2 linked regions of the Rattus norvegicus genome follow. The protein of the gene in region 2 interacts with the protein of the main gene of each other region in a biochemical or structural test. Links are inferred from orthologs where the notes say so. Each region holds a gene or a part of one and is shown on either strand. Other genes may lie near its edges.

The links. The genes of interacting proteins can lie anywhere in the genome.
Region 1: the proteins of Chm (region 2) and Rab7a are reported together in a solved structure, tested with the Homo sapiens proteins (2 studies listed by BioGRID, with this or other methods). The link is inferred for Rattus norvegicus from reciprocal best matches to the Homo sapiens genes CHM and RAB7A.

Annotation. Positions count from the first base shown.
Region 1 is NC_086022.1:122,029,713-122,039,600, forward strand, and holds part of Rab7a (ras-related protein Rab-7a), read right to left. Parts: intron 6,813-9,888; 5' UTR 6,805-6,812; coding exon 6,752-6,804; intron 3,699-6,751; coding exon 3,572-3,698; intron 1-3,571.
Region 2 is NC_086039.1:82,547,693-82,558,859, forward strand, and holds the start of Chm (rab proteins geranylgeranyltransferase component A 1), read right to left. Parts: upstream 6,352-11,167; 5' UTR 6,169-6,351; intron 1-6,168. UniProt on the Homo sapiens protein: Substrate-binding subunit of the Rab geranylgeranyltransferase (GGTase) complex.

The DNA of each region.
Region 1 (9,888 bases), on a different chromosome or scaffold from region 2:
CGCACACGCACACGCACACACACTCTTTTATACATGGCTCAATGGAGGAGCACGTGCTGGACATGCATGTGTAAAGACAAAAATGAAAGAGTTGGTGTGGCCTCACCCAACCCTCTTTTCTGTTTTTATTTTTTATTTTGCAGATCTTTTCTGCTATGTCCAATCTACTGTTAACTGAAATTTCCAAAGTTTTAGAAACTTTTACTTCTTTTCTTCTCAAATCTGTATTGCCTACTTGTTCTCTGCAGATATAAGGTTTTTTTCTTTTAAATTAAAACCAATGTACTGAGTTCTAATTAGAGGTCTGTGGTAGAACACCCCCCCCCCCCGCCCCGCAAAGAAGGGAGGAAGTTCCAACATGTTAACTGGGTCTGAGAGTTCACGACTGCCTTCTCAGCACTTGGGAAGACGAAGGTAAAAGAACAGAAAGAGTTTGAGAGTAGCCTAGGCTATATAGAGTGAATCCCAACCTGTAAAAATAAATCAATTGCCACGGATGACCCTAAACTGTGACACCGGACCTGGCTCCTTTGTAAATATAAAAATCACTCTCAAGGACAAGGAGGTCACCACTGGATTTTTATCTGTGATGTCTTTCTTTTCTTATCTTTTACTACAAGCTGCTAAAACTCTTTTTTTTTTTTTTTTTTTTTGGTTCTTTTTTTTTCGGAGCTGGGGACCGAACCCAGGGCCTTGTGCTTCCTAGGTAAGCGCTCTACCACTGAGCTAAATCCCCAGCCCGCTAAAACTCTTGAGACATATGTAGGGCTCACTCAAGACTCTGCCCCATCATTCAGAAGCTGCCACCTCCTCCCGCTTTCTCCTGGATCCTTCTGTGCCATGGGTCTCCAGTGTGGCTCATCAGACGCTGGCTGTGGGGATGCACTGCAGCAGTGAGTGTGGCGAAACCTCAGTTCTCAACCCCGTGCTGGGTGCACTGACAGTGCAGGTCTGTGCAGCTCCTGCGCTTCACCTGATCGCCGCAGTGCTGTGAAGAACACCAAACACCAGCCTCGCCACCCTTCCTCCAAGTCACATTCTTTCTGGGGACTCTTGGGGCTGTCATTCTGTTTCCTGCAGTCTTGGGTTCCCTTTTGTTAAGCTGTCTTACTATGTTGCTCTGGCTATTTTTCCTGTGTAGACCAGGCTAGCCTCACAGAGGCTCACAGGACCGACAGAAGCCCACCTGCCCTGCCTCCCGAATGCTGGGATTAATGGTGTACGGCACTGCACCCAGCCAGGCTCCAGTTCTCTCTGACCCCTTGCCCAACCCCTCAGCTTACCCACGCTTCTAGAGTTTAACAGTGCCTTTCACTTACTGTGATGTTTTTTTTTCAGTTTTTTTAAGTTCTAAATTTTCCATATCTTCATTTTTATAGCAGCTTTTTCCATACTGGTTTCTATTCCTGTTTTAAGAAACTATATCACTGTGAAGGTCTTGATTTCCTCAAATGGCCAGGAGCATATATATCTCTCACTCCAATTTTAAGTGTCCCACAGAGTAATCTTGGTTTTTGTCAAGAATGGCATGTGTTTCTGTTAAATTCTGTGAGACAGAGTGTCCTACCTTTGAAGAGTATAAACTTAAATTCTATACACATCAAGTTGCACTGGGCACACAAACCTTTAATTTCAGCTCCTGGGGAGGCTTTGCAAGTTTACGGTCAGTGCCTGGGCATCTAAATGATACCCTGTCCTAAGACACTAGTTTTAAAAGATCTGGGGACAAAGACCAACAGCAGAGCATTTGTCTACTAGCACTTAAGAGACCCTAGGTTCAATTCCAAATTTCCCATCCTGCAAACACACAAAGGAACCACCACCCATGTGGACAGGTGGACAATGAGGCAATCTCAAACCCCCAAGTCCCACAAGTATTGCTCCATCTTTGGCCTGTCTCCCCGTCCTGTTTTTATACTCTTTGTGGGGACTGGACATGTGGTGTACGGGGGGTGCTGGGGATGAGGTGGGGAGTACAGGTGCGTCTCAGCTCTGGCCCCACACATGGGCAGTGTACATCTCCAGTCCTTTCAAAGCTAAAACTTAAAATCCAATCCCATCCCATCCCATGGCAGGAGCCTCTGAGCCTATCACAGTTTTACTTTCCGCTTTGTTCCAGAAATTTCTTTTTCTCAAATTTGGTGTCCTTAACTTTCACTCAGGTATTTTGAATATCTTCAGATCTATGTGCATATGTGTAGTTGGGCTGGGAAGAGGCTGGCTCACATTACCTCCATCCTAAAATGGTTCATACCTTACAGTGATTGCCTATCTGTCTCCTATTTCCTACTGTAGTGCTGGCTGGATAGATGCTCCTCTGGTATCTCTGGTTTTACATGGGTTCTAGAAATTTGAGCATGAACTCTCACATTTTGCATAGCAAGGACTTTCTTTATCCATGGAGCCATCTCTCCGGCCCCACACTTGTTTTTGTTTTAGTTATATGTATGCTTTGTATAGGTAGTGGAAAAGCAAGAACAAAGACCCTGTCTCAAAACAAGGTAAAAGCTGGCTAAGATAGTGTACACATTTAATCCTAGCAGTAAAGAGATTACTTCTAGGTTCAATGACAGCCAGGGCTACAAAGTAAGATCCTGTCTAAGAAACAGATGGATGGATGGATGGATGAGCTGAACAGAACTCAACTTTATAAAAGTTTTTATTTATGAGTTTGCCTGCACTTGTGCACCAATTTGCCTAGAGGGCAGCTCCCTTAGCACTGAAGTTGTGGACAGTGCTGAGAACTGAAGCTGAGTCCTCTCTAAAGAGCAGCTCGTGCTTTTAATCACTGAGTCATCAATTTAGGTTAGCCAACAATTAAATAGTTAAATATACCTTACTATATGCTGTAAGAACTTAGGAAAACCCAGAAAAATTTCTGAGCTAAAGCACTGGACAAAGACACTAAGATAAGCTACAGGATGGCTTATGACTTTAATCCCAGCATCCCAGGGCATCTTTATGAGTTCAGTCATGGATACACAGATACCAACCCCTCCAAAAGAAAATAAAAATGAAGACTTTTAGAACATAGAAGGGACCTATAATTTGCTGTTTAGAAAAGGAAAAGAAAAAGACAATAAATCTTGTTAAATTAAATCCCTAGTTGTAATATAAATTTAAAATTAGGATTGGGTTGTAGCTTAGTGGTGGAAGCATGTGCCCTCAGCCTACATGAGGCTAGGGTTCCATGTCCACCGTGTTCCCAACCAACAACCCTATCTGCACCAATTATCCATTTTCCACAAATATAAATCAGTCTGAAAAGCAGGGAGATGTGACAGACAGTTTAGATGTAATAAACTGGGTCTACAAGAGTTCAGCAGGTAAAGCTTGATGGCCTGTGTTCAATCCCTAGAACCCATATAAAGGTAGAAAGAGAACCAACTCCACAAAGTTGTAGACACACACACCCCCACCCCACCTCTCCTCTCTCTCTCTCGCTCTCTCTCTCTCTCTCTCTCTCTCTCTCACACACACACACACACACACACACACACACACACACACACACCCCATTTTAAAGGTTCAGTAAGCTAGCCGTCTGGCTACTGGCTGAGCAGAGGCTTACCTGCATGGTAACAAGTCTGTCATCCACCATCACCTCCTTGGTCAGAAAGTCTGCTCCTATTGTGGCTTTGTACTGGTTACTGAACTTCTTATTCACATACTGGTTCATGAGCGATGTCTTTCCAACACTGAAATTGGACAAAACCCACATGTCTAAGTCAAATAAGGGACCGAGAGGAATTTAGATTTACAATTTTAAAAGCAACCTGACTGGGCTAGGAAGATAGATCAGTTGGTAGAGTGCTTGCCGGACACAGACAAGGCCTGGGTTTAACTTCTAGTACCACAACAGTTTAAAAACAAAGCATTTATTAAAGGATGTCATGATTGAGAGAAACAGCTCCCATTCGGGGAGCACCAACAATCACCCTAGCATCACATACTAGGTTTGTATTTTCCTGGCATAGTGGAGGGGGAGGGGCTGTCAGGATAGCTCAGGAGGTGTGGCAGTCTGAATGAGAATGGCTCCCACGGGCTCATAATCTCTTGTGGAGAGGGTGGGGTTTAAGGTTTCAAAAGATTTGTGTGCATGTTTCCACACTCTACTCTCTCTACTTTCTCTCAGCCTAGTGGTTCTGAATCAAGACAGAAGCTCTTAGCAACTGTTCCAGTGCCATGCTACCATGTCACCATGCGCTCTCCCTCTGCAATTGTAAGCCTACAATAATAAACTTTTCTGTAAGTTGCCTTCGCCATTGGATCTCATCACGGCAGTAGCAAGGTAAGATAGTGGGTAAAGGCACTGCTAAGCCTAGTGACATGAGTTCAGTCCCCAGGATTCACTGGGGTGAGCAATGGGGGTGAGGGTTCCTGCAAATTATACTCTGACTTCTACACATGCACCAAGCATGTGCAACAACCCATAGACATAAACAAACACAAAATAAATACCCATACACACGTGCAAAAAAAAATACATGTGATTTTAAAAAATCCCATCAATTCCAGCATAGCAGTACAAAACAAAACTGCAAACACCTATCACACACAGAACACCATTTGTAAGATTCAGTACGGGCAGCCCAGGTGGGAAGCTAGTGCAACTCTTCCCTTCCAGAAGGAGACACACACACTCCTAAAAGGAGCCGAGAGAAGATCACCACTCTGCCACTCCAAACAGCACTGTAATCTCAGGTGTTTATGCATCGCTCAAGTAATACCAGGAGGGAGCCACTTGCTTCAGCAGGCTTTTTGTCAGTGCACAGCCAGAAAAGAATGTTCCGGGACAGGTGTTGCAGCACAGGTCTGGAATCCAGTGCTTGAGAGATGAGGTAGCAGCATGGGAAGCCTGACGCCAGCCTGGGCTGCACAGTGAGTTCAAGGGCATCGAGCCACGTGTTTTTTTGTCTCTATAAAAATAAAGTCCACACAAAACCCAACAAGAGCAGGGCCCGTATGACAGCCAAAGGGGAAGGCACCTGTTGCCCAGCTTGATGACCTAAATTCAATGCCCAGGATCCCACAGAAGGAAAAACAATTCTTGCACACTGTCTTCTGATCTTCATACCCACATGCACGTGCACATACATAATAAAAAAGTAAATGTAATTGATAAAAATTCAAAGAATGTTCCTCCCAAGGAATTGTTTTTACCAAGAAAATTTACCAACCAAGTGTTCAGGAAGAGTAGGGCCAAAGTTATGTGACCTGAAGACAGAGCTAAAGCTTTCCCTGTCCCTGTGTGGCTTTCCACCAAGAATCAAATTCACATTCAGATGACTTGGACCTATACACAGCCTAAGGCAGTAGTGCTTGTCAGGGGTATAGCTCAGTGCCTGAGGACCACTGGCCTAATATGTGAGCCCTTGGGTTCTGTCTCCAGTACTGCAGCACAATTAGAATTTACAGAGGAGTAGCAGTAAGATGTGTAATCCTCAAAGATCTTCAGACTCCTTTCAGACAAGTCTGGGCAGCACAGATCTAAGGACAGTATGTCATTTCTGACAGTACTGGGCAGGAGACCTTATTCCTACTGGAATGCAATTTCGGAAACAAGAAAATACTTGTTTAAGGGTTCCTTAAGCAATTCAAACAGGCCAAACAGAAAATCCATGGCTGTTTAAGGAAAAGAAACTTTGGAAAACAGGGACATAAATGCCTTTATTACTGTTCCTATTGCCCTCTTTCTCAGAGACAGGTCATGCTGCCCAGGCTACCTTCAACCTTTCAAGGCTTAGCTGATTTTCCCATCTCAGCCTTCCAAGTTGCAGGTATGTAACACTGTGCCAACTTCATCATGAGTCATTTAAGAAACCAAATGTGAAAACTGGAGTAGAAAACAATTGGGAGACAGAGGCAGGCAGATCTCTATGAGCTCAAGGCCAGCCTGGTCTACACAATGAATTTCAAGACAACCAGAGCTACATGGTAAGACCCTATCTCAAATCTCTTGCCCCAAACCTACCCCACATAAAAAAAGGGGGGTGGTACTCGGCAATCTTTTAAAGATTTATTTATTTTATGCATGTGATTACACTGTCACTGTTTTCAGACACACCAGAAGAGGGCATCAGATGCCATTACAGATGGTTGTGAGCCACCATGTGCTTGCTGGGAATTGAACTCAGGACCTCTGGAAGAGCAGTCAGTGCTCTTAACTGCTGAGCCATCTCTCCAGTCCCTACTAGGCAATCTGAATAGCAACTGAAAAATTGATTACTTGGTGAGTTGAAGATCTAGAAACAAAATGCAGTCCTCTGGCTTTGACTTTTCCACATACAAGCCCTGGTCAGGCACAGCAGCAGAAAGGCAATGCACACGTGTGCAGAGCCCACATCTGCATAGCAACAACAGATCATGAAAACAACCGTTCCTGGTCTGGCCAGATGGTACAGAAGAGAATCCATGAAAAGTGACTATCATTTACTGGGTTCAGTCCCCTCTCCCCTCAAAAGAAACCCAAACCCAAGCGTGTTAAAAGAAATGGTGATGCAGCTGTAGTAGAGTGCATGCCTAACATGCCCTGGGTTACAGTTCAAAGAAAACACAACCACACAGGACATGCACACACACCCATACTAAAAGGGGAAAAAAAGAGCAAAAATACACACCAAAGGACTATCAAATTTCTGCTAAATCCAGTAGTAAAGGACAGGGGACAGACCCAGAGTAGAATGTGGAGCTGTCTTGAGATGGCTCTCCAAGACGATCTTGTGAGGTCAAATTCATGAGGAACACTTACCCAGAGTCTCCCAGGATGATGACCTTCAGCAACACTTTCTTCCTAGAGGTCATCCTTGAAGCTGTAGGAAGGAGAAAGCACAGGTGAGCTGAAGAAACACCAAGGCAGACACTGTCCTTTGCTGCCACTCCAACAGGAGCTGAGCCCCAGCCTTCATTCAGACTGCCCCGGGAACCTGTGAGTCCTTAGCTGACCTCGGTTCTCTCTCAAGTGCTGGGTCCATTACTGGCATCAGCAGTTGGGATTAATACTCCAAACAGACTTAAGAGTTCTACAAGTGAAGATTAAGCATTACTTTCTCAGCGAAGGAACCTATTCCCTTCCTTCCCTTTCCCCCTTCCCTTCCTCCTTTTCTTTTTCTTTTTGAGTCAGTGTTTCTGTGTTGTTCTGGCAGACCTGGAAGTCACTGTAGACCAGGATGGTCCCTAACTCAGAGATCTGTTGGCCTCTGCCACCTGGGTACTGAGATTAAAAGTGTGTGCCACCACTGCCAGCTAGGAACCACTTTATTTAAGGAGCACCCTGTGTTGGATAGTTTTATGTCAACTTGACGAAAGCTAAAAGTCATGAGAGAGGAGGGAGCCTCAATTGAGAAAATATCCCTGTAAGATCGGGCTGTAAGTCTGTAGGCCATCTTCTTAATTAGCGATTGATGGAAGAGGGCCCGGCCGTCTGTGTGTAGTGCCACCCCTGCCTGAGATTTCTATAAGAAAGGAGGCCAAGCAAGCCACAAGGAACAGTCCAGGAAATAGCAATCTCCCATAGCTTCAGCCCCAGCCCCTCTTTGGCTTCTCTCAATGAACTGTTACTTGGATATGTAGGCCAAATGAACTCTCCCTCCTCAAGATGCTTTGGGTCATGATGTTTCATCCCAGCCACTGTAACCTACGACACGACACCCCCTCTCCCAACTACTGTTTGCTGCTTTAAATTAAAACACATATATCTAAATATATACTATTTATATTCTCCATTTTCTAACATTCTCCATGAGGACAGTTTTATTTTCTACGTGCCTGGTGTCAAGTAAAGAATTATCAAACACAAGATTAGTGGAGTGGATGAACAATACTTCACAGTGCAACTCTAGGGACAACCTTTTCCCAAAAACCTAGGCAGCCTTTGCTTGCATGACCATACAGTACGTAAGATACTGACTGACCCCTGGTTCACACTTCCAGCACTTGTCAGTCCTTGAGCTATTAACAAAGAAAGAACGTCTGAGTCAATGAGTGGGTTTCCAAAACACTACTTGTTGGCTAAGTACTGTATGTAAACTGGCAGGCACTGGTTGCTATTATTTGAATGTATGTCCCAAACACAGGTCAGACAGAGAACACAGCAGAACACAGTCCAGATGACAAGGGAAAAAGTTGCAAGCCACAGTTCAGGGGCTGTCTGCCAGCTGCTTTTGCAGTGTGTGACAGCACACCCAAAAGCACATAGGAGATACGGTACCAACTGGCTTACAAAGAAGTGGAACCCTATGTCCCTCAAAGGGACTGTTTCCATTGTTTCTGGCTATAGAGACAGTGTGGAGACAGGAACGATATCTCATAAACTAATGAAAAACTATTTGCTATGACAAAAAAAATAGTTCCTTGAAATGATTTATCTTGGATCACAGTTTCAAAGGCAACTGGGCAGTTGCAAGGATTGCGGGCCCACAGTAAGATAGAACATCACAGCAGGGAGTGAATGAAACTGGTGCCATCACGATACAGAAAGCATACAGCAAGAAAGCCTGTGTGTGCACTAGGCTTCCTCCTGGCCCCTTTTTTCCCCATCAGTCCCCATTCCCACCTGCAAGGTAGGTATGGTATAACCCACATTCAAAGAATGTCTCCCTACTTAACTGTCTCTGGGGTCAGCAACATGGCTCAGCAGTAAAGGCACTTGCCTCCAAACCTGATGACCTGAGCTCAATTCCTGGTCCTAAAGACTGGAAGGAGAGAGCCAACTCCTGAAAGTTGTCCTCTGACCTCCACACGTATGCTGGGACATGCATACACATATAAACACAATAAAGTAAATACAATAAAAAATTACTTCTGGAAATGCTATCACAGACATGCTCAAAGACAAGCTTTACTCATCTCCTAAATATCTCTCAGTCGAATGACGTTGGCAACCAGGATTAACCATCAAAGTCTGGCTACTCTCATTGCCCAACACCCCCATTCACAGCTCAGTCTATAACAACTTGTTAAGCTCAGTGACACTGGTAAGAAAAACAGGTGCTAGGGCCAGGTACAGACTGTGTAAAGAAGTGACCCTCAGAGACTATTTATTTCCTTCAGCCACCCGTCGTCATACCTAGAGTTTTCTCATACTCTAAACCATACACTACATATGGAGCCTTGCCTCCCCACAAACTGCGTTGACTCAGCAAGGTTTCAGTCTCATCGAAGGTCTAGTATCACTTCTGTTTTGTTTTTCAAGACAAGGGTTTCTCCATGTAACCCTGGCTGTCCTCAAACTTAAAGAGATCTGCCTGCCTCTGCCTCCCAAGTACTTTAATCCCAAGATTAAAGGTATGCACCACTACTGCCTGGCTAGTATCACTTTTTGGGATGGATTACACTATGTCAGTGGATAGTTTTGTAAAACTTTCTTTTCCTTTCTGTTGGGGGAGGGGGTGTTAGACAAGGCCTCACTATGTAAACCAGGCTGGTACAGAACTCACAGAGACCCACCATGGCCTCTGTCTCCTGACTGCTAGGATTAAAGCACCACATGGCTTGGCCATAGCTTGATTTCTTAGTAGCCCTTTTGAGTATCAGAAAGGAAGCACCATGCTCAGGCTCTGCTCATGCATACTGATCAAATCTGTTTCCGTCCTGGAGTCTCTGCTCCCTGGCAGCGCCCACAGAGCGCCTAGCATGCTGACGCTGCTGCAGTGATGAGACACCTCTGAGTCATTTTCTTCCTCTTCCAACTCTGGAAACTACACAGGTTGCTGCTCCAAAGCCATCAAATCCCCACAGCAGCAAACAGTGTTTTGAGCATAGGATTTGGTTATTTTTTAATTCTCACATGTTGTTAATTTATGAAAAATGTGGAAAGGATAATGTTGTGAATGGGGTTACACATTGCTTTGTGGTCAGAGAGCATGTCTAGCCCATGCAAGGCCCTAG
Region 2 (11,167 bases):
AAGTCAGTTCACTAATTCTGAGCCCTTATGACCTCTAGTTAAGGCCTGACTACCAGCAATCCTGCTGTCCTTTCATTATACCAAACTGTAAAATAAAGTTGATCTTTTTTCTTAGTAAAAGAAACCCAGAGAGCCTGTGTATCTCTGCATGCATTTATAGCTCTTCTCTAAGAACACCAAGTTTTAGCATTTGCTGCAATGACCATAAAAGAAGTTAACAATAATGAAAAATAAGACATGAATGCCAATACTGAAAGATAAATTATTCTCAGAACCATATCATTATTATGTGATTACAAAACTTGGAATGAATGAAATTCAACTGAAACAATCTGTATCTTAAAACATGACTCTGATCTCATTGCTTTAGTGACTGATTGGTTTTTGCTTTGGGGATTTTTGGGGGAAGGGGAATAAATGTAACTAGGTCATCCTGTTTGCCTCCATATAAGGGTTTACAAGCTGACTCCAATATCATAATATTGTCAATAATTAAGGCCCAAACATGAAGCTATTTTTGGCATCAGTTTAAAAAAAATGCCAACCTAAGCCTAGAGCAAACTAATCAAATTTTTGGAGGATATGGTGCTTCTTTTCACTTAAAAAAAATTCAACAATCTCAATTCAGTATCTCAATTCTAGTTGTCAATAACTTGTCTAACCTATACAACGTAGGTCAAAATTGGCAAAATCTAGGGTTTTACACTTACTTGAGGTGAGATAATATTTACTCCAGAACTGGTAGTAGTAAGAAACCATTTATTATACCAAATTGATATGGACAAGCATGTATTGAAAAACACTAGTGGGGGGGATAGATGCTAGAAAATCAAGCCAGCCTAAGTGCTTTGTAAAATCTAGTTTGAGATGAAATAAAGTAAGTTGCCTCTGTTTCCTCAACTATTCGTAATCTGTTTAGGGTTTGCTTTGGTTTGTGTTTTGAGAGATTGCTGTTTGTTTTGCTGATGTTTTCCATATCTGCCTCAGTATGAAAACATGTCAACTCTTAAAATCATGCTCCGATAAATCACTAACTGTGGCAAATTATTGTCTCTTTGAATACTGTCCTTTAAATTATTAGAAAAACAAAAAGCAAATCTTTAGAAAAGCATCCTTATTCTACTAACAACAACTACATGTCTCCCGAATTCCCAATCTTCTACACTACAGATTATACACAGGGCATAGATAGACAGACATTAGCTCTAAGGCTTTATACACACAGCAGGAACAGCCTAACTTTTCAGTTCTCCCTGAAACTGAATGGCAGATGATTTCACATGAGTTACAGGTCAATTATATGGAATCATAATTGTTTCTGTGCATTGGGATTTTATGTTAAACACGAGGATGTGAGGTTGAGCAAGCACATTTGATTTTAATTGCTGTAGCCTGAGTTATCCAAAACATCATGAGAACACTGGAGAAAATGAGAAAATGACAAGCAGCACGGGAGATGAAAACGATGCTGCCCAGGGAACTTTGGTAACAGATGCGGCTCTCTCTGAGGGACTGGCTCAAATTTATGATTTACAGAGCAGCTCAGAGAATCCTCGGAATTAAATAAATCCTCCTTACTTTGTTAGGTCTCGAAAGAAGAAAAGATGACTTTCCTACCAAAAAAAAAGAAAGAAAGAAAGAAAGAAAGAAAGAAAGAAAGAAAGAAAGAAAGAAAGCTCAAAGAAGTACAAATTAAAACAGCAAGATCTGTAGGCGTTCTTTACCTCCTACCTCTTAGCAATGAAAAAGCACTTCACACTATGTTCTCAGTTAAAATGAATGATAAATCTATTTAAAACAGATGATAAATAATTCAAACTGGTGAAGCAAACTCAAAACTAAAAAATAAAAAAGGAATATCTATAAACTACCAGATAAAAAATCTGATTTAGCAAAAAGTGTTAAAAATCAAAGGTCTTTCTAAGCAAGCAGCTAATGGGAAGAGGAAGATAATGAACCTTACATTACCATCCTTCCAGGACTCTCCATGAAAATCATGAGCTCTTCCTTGATGTCCTTCAGGCAATACTAATGATAATAAAAGCACTTCACTATGGCTTTCAGGCCATAAAAAAAAATCACCTATATTATGTAAGCATTTTATAGGAAGTATTTCTTCAATATTTAACACAGCTCAATGAAATTCATCTTATTTAGAAATAAGGTGAAACTTAAGAACAGCTAAGGGTGTACCTAATGGGGCACACAAAGCATAGGTGGGATTCAAATTCTATCATCACCTTATCACACTGCTCAAATGAGATACATGCATGTAAAAGTATGCGTAATATATGGGAGGTGTCTTAGTTAGGGTTTTACTGCTCTAAAGAGGCACCATGATCAAGGCAAGTCTTATAAAGGGCAACATTTAATTAGAGCTGGCTTACAGGATTCAGTCCATTATCACGAAGGCAGGAACATGGCAGTGTCTAGGCAGGCATGGTACAAGACGAGCTGAGATTTCTACACCTTCATCTAAAAGCTGCTAGAAGCCTTGCTCCCAGGCGGCTAAGCCAAGGGTCTTAAAGCTACACTTCCTCCAACAAGGCTACACCTATTCCAAGGCCATACCTCCAAATAGTGCCACTCCCTGGGGTAAACATATTCAAACCACTACAGAAGGTCTAACACTGATGAATCTAAAGGACTTTTGAAATACTACTTTCAATTTTATTGACTATTAAGTTGCTTACCATTCTATAGGCATTATTTTTTGTGTATAAAGATATTTTATTATATGTATTTTATCATTTATTATATGTATTATGATAAATTGAGTAATTTAAGGGCTAGCATCCATTTCGTGAATTACAGAGAAGTGCCAACTTGCTTTTTAAAAAAGAAAGCCACTCTCAACAACAGGTATAAGAATGCAGATATAGGGAAGGATTATGTGTCCATTGTGATAAGAGAAGCACACACAAACATGCTAAGATATAAATATTGTAAGTCACTTGTACTGAGCCTCACTTCCAGACAATTTAGCAAATATCAGTTTTTACACCACTTCCTACAGCATTACTATCCTCCAAGGTTTAGAAACCATACCCTACTGCTATCTGAAATATTAAAATCCTTGAATGAGCAGCCAGCCAAAATTAACATCAGTGCTGCAATTTGAAACATCAAGAATGGGACTGTACTATTTACATGAACATTCCTAAAAAGGCAGCTTACCATTTAAATATATATATTTACCTGCACACAATGGTAAATCCTTTAGAGAAGCCAGCTCTTTAAAAAAAAAAAAACAATGAATAGGGCTGGGGATGTAGCTCAGTACAGGACTTGAAGAGCATATGCAAAGGCTGAGGTTCAAGGACCACCAGGACAAGACTCGAGGGAGGGAGTGGAAAAAGAACAGATCTAACTTCTTTAAAGAAATACCTATGAAATTAAATAAGCTAGCTTACAAAGTATCTTAGAGGAGGAACTTCTACCCAAAGATAAAGCAGTATAGTTAAGAAAGAATAGCATGCAGACTAAATTCCTACATGGTATTCTGAAAACATAAATAACCAATGACATGAAAAATGTCCATGGTTCTAAGAAAAATTGTGGAATTTTAACTCTGAGGAAAGCCAAAAAGTTCCTAAGAAAAAACAATATGTTAAATATTACAACCACAATAGGAGTACGTACTTGATGGCAGTAAAGTATTACAAGTATTGATTGTGTGTGTGTGTGTGTGTGTGTGTGTGTGTGTGTGTGTGTGTGTTTACACTAAACAATGTCAAGGTATTATGCCACTTCATGTATTTCCCTTTCTTATATAGATAGAAACTGCCAATCACTTGTACATCTAATAGCACAACCCAAACATATTCTTGGTAACAGTTTATGCCTCCGAATGATGTGGTTATAGTATATTCTAAGCAGCTAGAATTCTTTCTAAAATAACAATATATTCCAAGTGAAGAGCTGAAGAATGTCCCTATATATGACATATGTCAATATTATCATATAATCCTTATAACTTAGATTTCTTCTGCACTTTTAACTTCTTGGCTTTGCTGGAGATTATACAAGTTACCAGAAAAGTCACCTTTAGGACCTGTAACTAATGATAACTTTTCCACACACCCCAAAATTGTCATGAAAATTACACTTTAAATGCCAAACTCTTCTGAAATGACATATGTACCAAAGCCAAAGATCACATTCTAAGAATTTGTGTCCATTTTCTTCCCCACCAAGATTCCAATTGGTTTTCCCTCTTTAATCTTTTTTTTAATCTTTCCCCCCACAATTCAAGTACTGTATCTTAATTCTGTTCCTTTAGGTATTCTGATATAATTTTCCCATATCTTGAAACTATGACCTTAAAGGAAACTTTAATCCATGCCATGCAAAAAGTAAAGATGCACATTATTTAAGGTTGATAAACTTTTAAAGCATTCTTAGATGATGCTACATGATGAAGCAATTGTCTTCTGATGACAGTTTAACTAAACAGTTGTTAAAAGGGAGCTACAACGCACAGCTCTTTCTTATAATGACATGCTTCATTATGCTTTTGATAACAGAACCCAAGTTATAAAACACTGCTTTACCTACAAATTTCCTAAGTGCAAATTTAATACAGTCAACACATTTAAAGTCTACCCTTAGCAATGTATTTGAGAAGGAAATCACAATGTTTCAATAACGAAGCCAATTAAAAGCAATGATTGAAATCTTAAGAATGATTTTATTTAAAAAATGACTTTCAACAAATGTTTTCACTTTTAATGTATCTAAAAGAATTAAAATAGCTAAGAAAAATAACACATCACCCAAATAAATACAGAGACTCCAAGTATAATTTAAAAAAGACTTATTCTAAAATGGATGGCGTTTTCGGTTTTAGGCAGGCACACTGGGGAAACTGAACGTTCTACTTCATCTTTCAAGCTCTCCTTTAACATCTGCTCATTCCAGGAAGCACCAGGTTAGCTGCTCAGCGGTTATCTTCAGGCTGGGAGCAAACACACCCCCACTGTTCTGAGAACAACTTACCCAGGTACATCTAGAATATGAGAATCTGTGTTCTGGATAATACCTTAAAGGCTATCTGAGTTACCTTCCTTATATTCAAAATGGTAGAAATTGAACCGCTTGAGACCCTCCCATTGCATAATCTAGAGCAGGTTTCCCTGGTATTTGTGATAACATAGTTCAAATTTGAGTCAAAAACAAAACAAAACAAAAAACAAACAAAAACCCCTGAATTCCATTTCTTGGATGGTATTAGCCACTGGACATTTACTAGCTGTGTGATTTTGGCAAGTTAGACTTCCAAGCTGCTTCTTTTCTTTTGTGTACTGAAAAGGATACCAATTTTACCAAGGTTTTTGACCGGATTATATGAAGTGCTTAAGTTCATTGATTAGGGAACGGTAAGTATTAGAAAATGGGTTGCTATCACTTTTACTCTAAACCTGAAAATATAGCTGTTCTTACTGTTTGGTAAGAAAGCAAACAGAATTCATTAACACAACAGACAAGATCCCAATGACCAAAGCTTCTATGGCCTAGCATATTCTAAGACAGTAGAATCCGCCCCCCTCCCCAAACTATCTCTTTTATCCTATGCAAACTTACAGTTAAGATAAGAATAGCTAATTGTCGCCAAGCATTATAGGATTAACTAGTCAACTAGAAGCTGAAAAGGATTTCTGGCTCCACCCAAAACATGGAGAACAAATGATGGAAGAGCTAGGGGAAGCTGAGCTCAGACACGGGTTGTGGAACACTGGAGCTTACTCTCAGCACATCTAGTTGTGGTGTGTTAATAGGTGACAGAAAACAAGATGCTTTCTGCATTATGAACTAGGATGCTTTAAACTTCGTAATGCAGGAACCTCAAGAAAAAAAAAATACTTAACTACTCAACACAACAGGGAAGAGTACTTTTTCTTTCCTTTAGTAAAAATACACACGTGTAACGACTGAGTATCATTTTTATAAAACTGCAAATTAGGCTGCATCTGAGCTGCAATGTACCCTAGCTCATGTAAGTATATGGGGGCGTGCGGGGGGAGGGGGGCGTTCTATGAAATGGCGACCTGAAACGATGGGGAATATAACCTTGAAATCAACAAGGAGGGAAGGTGGCAATTATTTGTGCCAACGGCGTCTCCATTGATCAAATCCCGATCCTCCATTGTCATGACACTGCAAACCCACCTTCCTCTAAGGAAATTAACAGGAATCACCACAGCAACCAACCTCAGCAATCGGCATCGACCAGATCGACCCCTACTCAAATGGCGCAAAACACCGCGGGTCCAAGCCCCTCCCTGGAGCTGCCAAGTCCCGCGCTGACTCCAGACTACCTCACTTCCTTTCTGTCCTCCCTCCCAGGCTCGACCCCCGCCGTTTCTTGCCAACCCTCACCACTGACAGAGAAAATAAAAAGCGAGAATTATTTTCTATATTTTGTCCAGCGAAAATCAGGGCCACACATACCCGTCCCTATTACGATCACATCAAAGTCCGAAGGGAGATTATCCGCCATCTTGACAGGAAACGTGTCATGTGACTGTAGTTTGTAGCTGTGAATTTCTAAGGCACTACCTAGGTAGAAAGCGGAAGGAAAAACAGTGCATTCTGGGTGTTGTAGTTTTAGGGTAGCGGGTGCAGGTAGGCGACAACAGAGTAGCATTAAAATGTTAATGCAAATGGTAAAAGCTAGATTTATTTCACAGACTTCAGTGATATACCTTACTTATCCTAGCAGTTTGATATGGAAATGAAACGTAATTATTCGACTCCTCAAGCAAGGATGAATGAGGAAAGTTTGTATACCCCTTTGACAATTACCAAGCAAAAATTGATCAGAGATGCTCAGGCAGTAGTGAAATTCAAAGGGGCTCACTTTGAACAAATGAATCATTCAAGCCAGGAAAACTGTTTCCCCTAGCATGTCTGTATTTGCATTTTTAGAACCTGAGGAATCTCTTTTCACTTTATACCAATACTGTCTTTTTGTCTCTGTGCCTTCCCAGAGAGAATAGAACCAAACAAAAAACTCTTTGCCTAGTTTCCACAGAATAGAATTCCTCACAGAATTTCAAATTGCCGCCTAGCAAAGTAAGTTACAACATTAACTTTGCTTTAGAGATGGCAGTGAGAGTGGGGGATGGGGGAGTGTGAAAGAGTATTAAAGAATAGTAGATGGTTTATAAATCTTTTGTTTCAGAATCTGATTTTCTGCCAAAATAAGGAGAACGCATACAAGTTTCTCCTGCAATGTTGAGGAGAAATGATTAACATTAAATAGATTTAATATGGAAGTGGGCATATTTGATAAGGGAGCTTAAGACTGTCTATGTCAAGCAGTTAATATAACTCTCATGAGTATTTTCAAGGTCTGTCAGCTCACACTCTACCTTATTTAAAACACATTTGTCTGAAAATAGTAAAGCAAAAATAGGCAATGGGGTACACTGTAGTGAGTAAAGTACTTTTTAATCCAAGGAATCATTTTTATAGCTATTTTTCGAGAGTTTCAAAATAACAATCCTTTATACTATCTACAGTCTCAGCTACTTATCATTCTCCATACATTGTTTCCTTCTTAATCTCTATGACCTCCCCACATTAGCTCTTCCTTCAACAATGAATAATCTTCTCAACCTCTAGGTAACATGCTTAATAACAAATAAGGGATACACTTAATATTATTAAAGCATTAAGTGATGTATGTGTTTCTAAAGAACACATGATTCCATGTAATTATGCACAACTTTACGTATCAGTTAAAAATAATAAAATAAAGGGGAAGCTACAAATGTACTTCAATGTTTAAGATCACAGACTGCTCTACTACAGGACCAGATTCTATTCCTATGCTCCCTATGCTTGTATGGTAGCTCACAACCTTGTATAACTCTAATTCCAAGGGAATTCTTTTCTGGCCTCCTGAGGCACCATATGCACATAGTACAGAGACAAACACACAGACCCACACATTAAAAAAACAAACTTGTGAAATAATAAGCATAATAAAAGAAAAGCAAAAAGAAACCATTGGAAGAAAAGTAATCAAATTTTTAAGAGATTCATTTAGGCCAGCCTAGAATGCTAAGCTTTCCAAGTATTGATAATAATATGTACAGCTAGCAAGATAGGTTTAGTAATATTGTAAGATTTAGTTCAGCTTCTGTTTTATCTTTTCCTCCTTCCCTATATTATACTACTTCCACTTTATCATATCCTGCTACATTGCTCTAAAAGTTCATGTATGTTGACTCCTATATAGTACTCATCACCCACACACACATACAAAATATACATCCAGACGTAACATATTATAAAATGTAAACTTTGGCATGTCAAATGCCATTTTTACCCAATGCACTTAATCTAAACTTGTTTTTACAGTAACAATTCAACAAATATTTCCTGAACTGAAATTAATCGTGACTTCTTTGACAGATAGTGAGGTAATGACAAACTATATCATTTGACCTTGATATCTACCTGTCACTTTAAAAGTCACTTTTATTTGCCTTATGTAATTGTCACCTCAGAGGCTTACTGCTCAATGAACACACCCTTTCTATTCTTTCTGAATATGGCTGGCTGGTTCAACTCAGCTGTTTTGGCTCAAACTCCTCTCCAATTTGGCTGGTTCAACTTGGCTTCTCTCAACTTCTCAGTTGCTTGGCCTCAAACTAACTCTGGCAATTTGTTCTAAGCTTTCTGGATACATATTCACTGGCTTCAACTGCCTTGCTGATCTGCAATGAATTGCAGGAACTCACAAAAGAACTCAATTGACTAAACTGAACTCATCTAAATTTCCTGTGCTGCCATTAAATAGCTTCTCTTTCCTGTACTGTTCTCATGAGAGTTAGATGTATCCTATTTCTGACTCATTCTGTCAAATCTTTGTCTGATTCATCATGTTATCTGGCCCTTAATTAGATAGACATCACTTTCAACCATAGTTGCTTCATTCTACAAACTAATTTTACCTTAAAGTTGTATACTAAGTATATGTCTGTACTGGCTGGTTTTGTGTGTCAACTTGACACAAGCTGTAGTCTTGGGTTCTATAAGAAAGCAAGCTAAGCAAGCCAGGGGAAGCAAGCCAGTAAGTAACATCTCTCCATGGCCTCTGCATCAGCTCCTGCTTCCTGACCTGCTTGAGTCCCGGTCCTGACTTCCTTTGGTGATGAACAGCAAGTGGAAGTGTAAGCTGAACAAACCCTTTCCTCCCCAGCTTGCTTCTTGGTCATTATGTTTGTGCAGGAATAGAAACCCTAAGAAAATGTCTGTATTCCAGCCAGACGGATTAAACATGTGTGGCACGTCTGCATTCCAGTCAGATCACACAGACCTAAATCTTTGGATGCGATCCCTTTTCAGAGCAGCCATGTTGATTGATTAAAATTCCTCTACATGCCACAATTAAGTGCCTTAATTTTTTTAAGATGTTTGATAATTTTTTTATTTTTAAAAGTACCATGAGAACTGTTTTAAAAATAAATTTTAATAGATATGCTTTCTGCACTTTTGTACACTTTGGTACAATAATTATCAATATTGTAGTTTTCTTAATTTTGTTTATGGATTACCATGTTATGCCACAGCATTCTCTTGTGGTATGATTCAATAAGGAATCTCTTGCAAAATATATTCCTTGAAAGGTACAACATATTATTCACTAAGTCACTACATTATTTGACTTGCTATGACAAAAAAGCTTTGAGTATTATCAGAACTGAAATAGATGTTATCTATGAAGTGCCCAATATACCAATAAAAATGTAAACTAAAACAGCCCAAAGAAAATACAGGAATCTTTCCAAAATCTCTAGCAGTGGGAAACACAATAAGATAGAATACAAACAAACAACAAAATATGGGTATACATTCAAGGATGCACATAGTACGATCACATTATGTTTTAAAAATATGAATAACTTATTATGACTCATAAAATTTCCTTATAAACACAGTGTGAAAAATAAAAGTCACTAATAAATTTAGTTATTCTTTAATAATCATGAATCTTCTAGTAAGTGAATGGGTTATAATAAAATGCTGAGATATGAACAAATAACAGACAAATGTCCTGTCTTTGGAAGGTTTATGTGTAATTCTGCTGAATTTCTAGTCTGTCTTGCCCCATATTTGAAGTTTTATTTCCCTTGAAGATCAAAGCCTGGTATTCATGAAGAAAATATTACCAACATGTTTAGCTGTATTTTTCTGAGTATATGATATTTTTATAAATCTATCATACATTAAAAATTGTCACTGTATTAAAATATAAATCTTCTTTGTGAAGAAATGTTACAATGTCTTTTAAAATAAACATTGTTTATATTTTATGTAAATAAATAATACAGGACTTTACAATGTCAGGAAATGGCATAAAACAAAACAACTAGAAATTGTTGGCTGTTCTTCCAAGGACATCTATTTTTGAGAGTTGAAATATTTTGATAAGTCATAGTAGAATGAATTGTATCTAAGAAATAAGCACCTATTAAATAATCATAACACCAATTTTATTCCTAAAGGTTTTCTGAGTTGAAAACAATAATTTCTTATTATATATTGCGTTTAAAAGTACATTTTACTATGAAAAGATTAAGTTTCTACAAAGGTTTTTTTCTCTCTAGGATCTTTCTTCTCAATTCTAGAACTATATTTAACTCCTTATTTTCTTTTCCGAATGTCCACTACTGTGCTCCAAAATATTCCAATTACATTCCTAAAATGTCTCTTCATATGATATTCACTATCTTAGATACAGTTCCACCTTCTACTCACTTAAATCAAAATTGCAAAAATCACCCTGAGCTCATGCTTTCCTTCTTCTCTTAAACTATATCAATACTCATACCAGATTTGTCTTTAAAATATACTGCAACAGTGTCCAGTAGTTTACTATACCAGACATTAGTTCCATCTTGTGGAGTGTGCCTAAATCCAATCAGAAAGTGGCTAGTCACTCCCACAACATTCATGTCACTATTGCACTGCCCCCCATATCTTGACAAGATGCTCAGTATTGCAGCTCATAGGGTTCACAGCAGGATAAGTTCTTTTGGGTTTTCTTTGTTTATTTGTTTTTGTTTGTTTGTTTTATGGCTGTTTCTCCTCTGGTAGAATAAATATTCCTTAAGCACTGTGAAACCTATTCAGAGGAAATAAAGCTACCATGTCG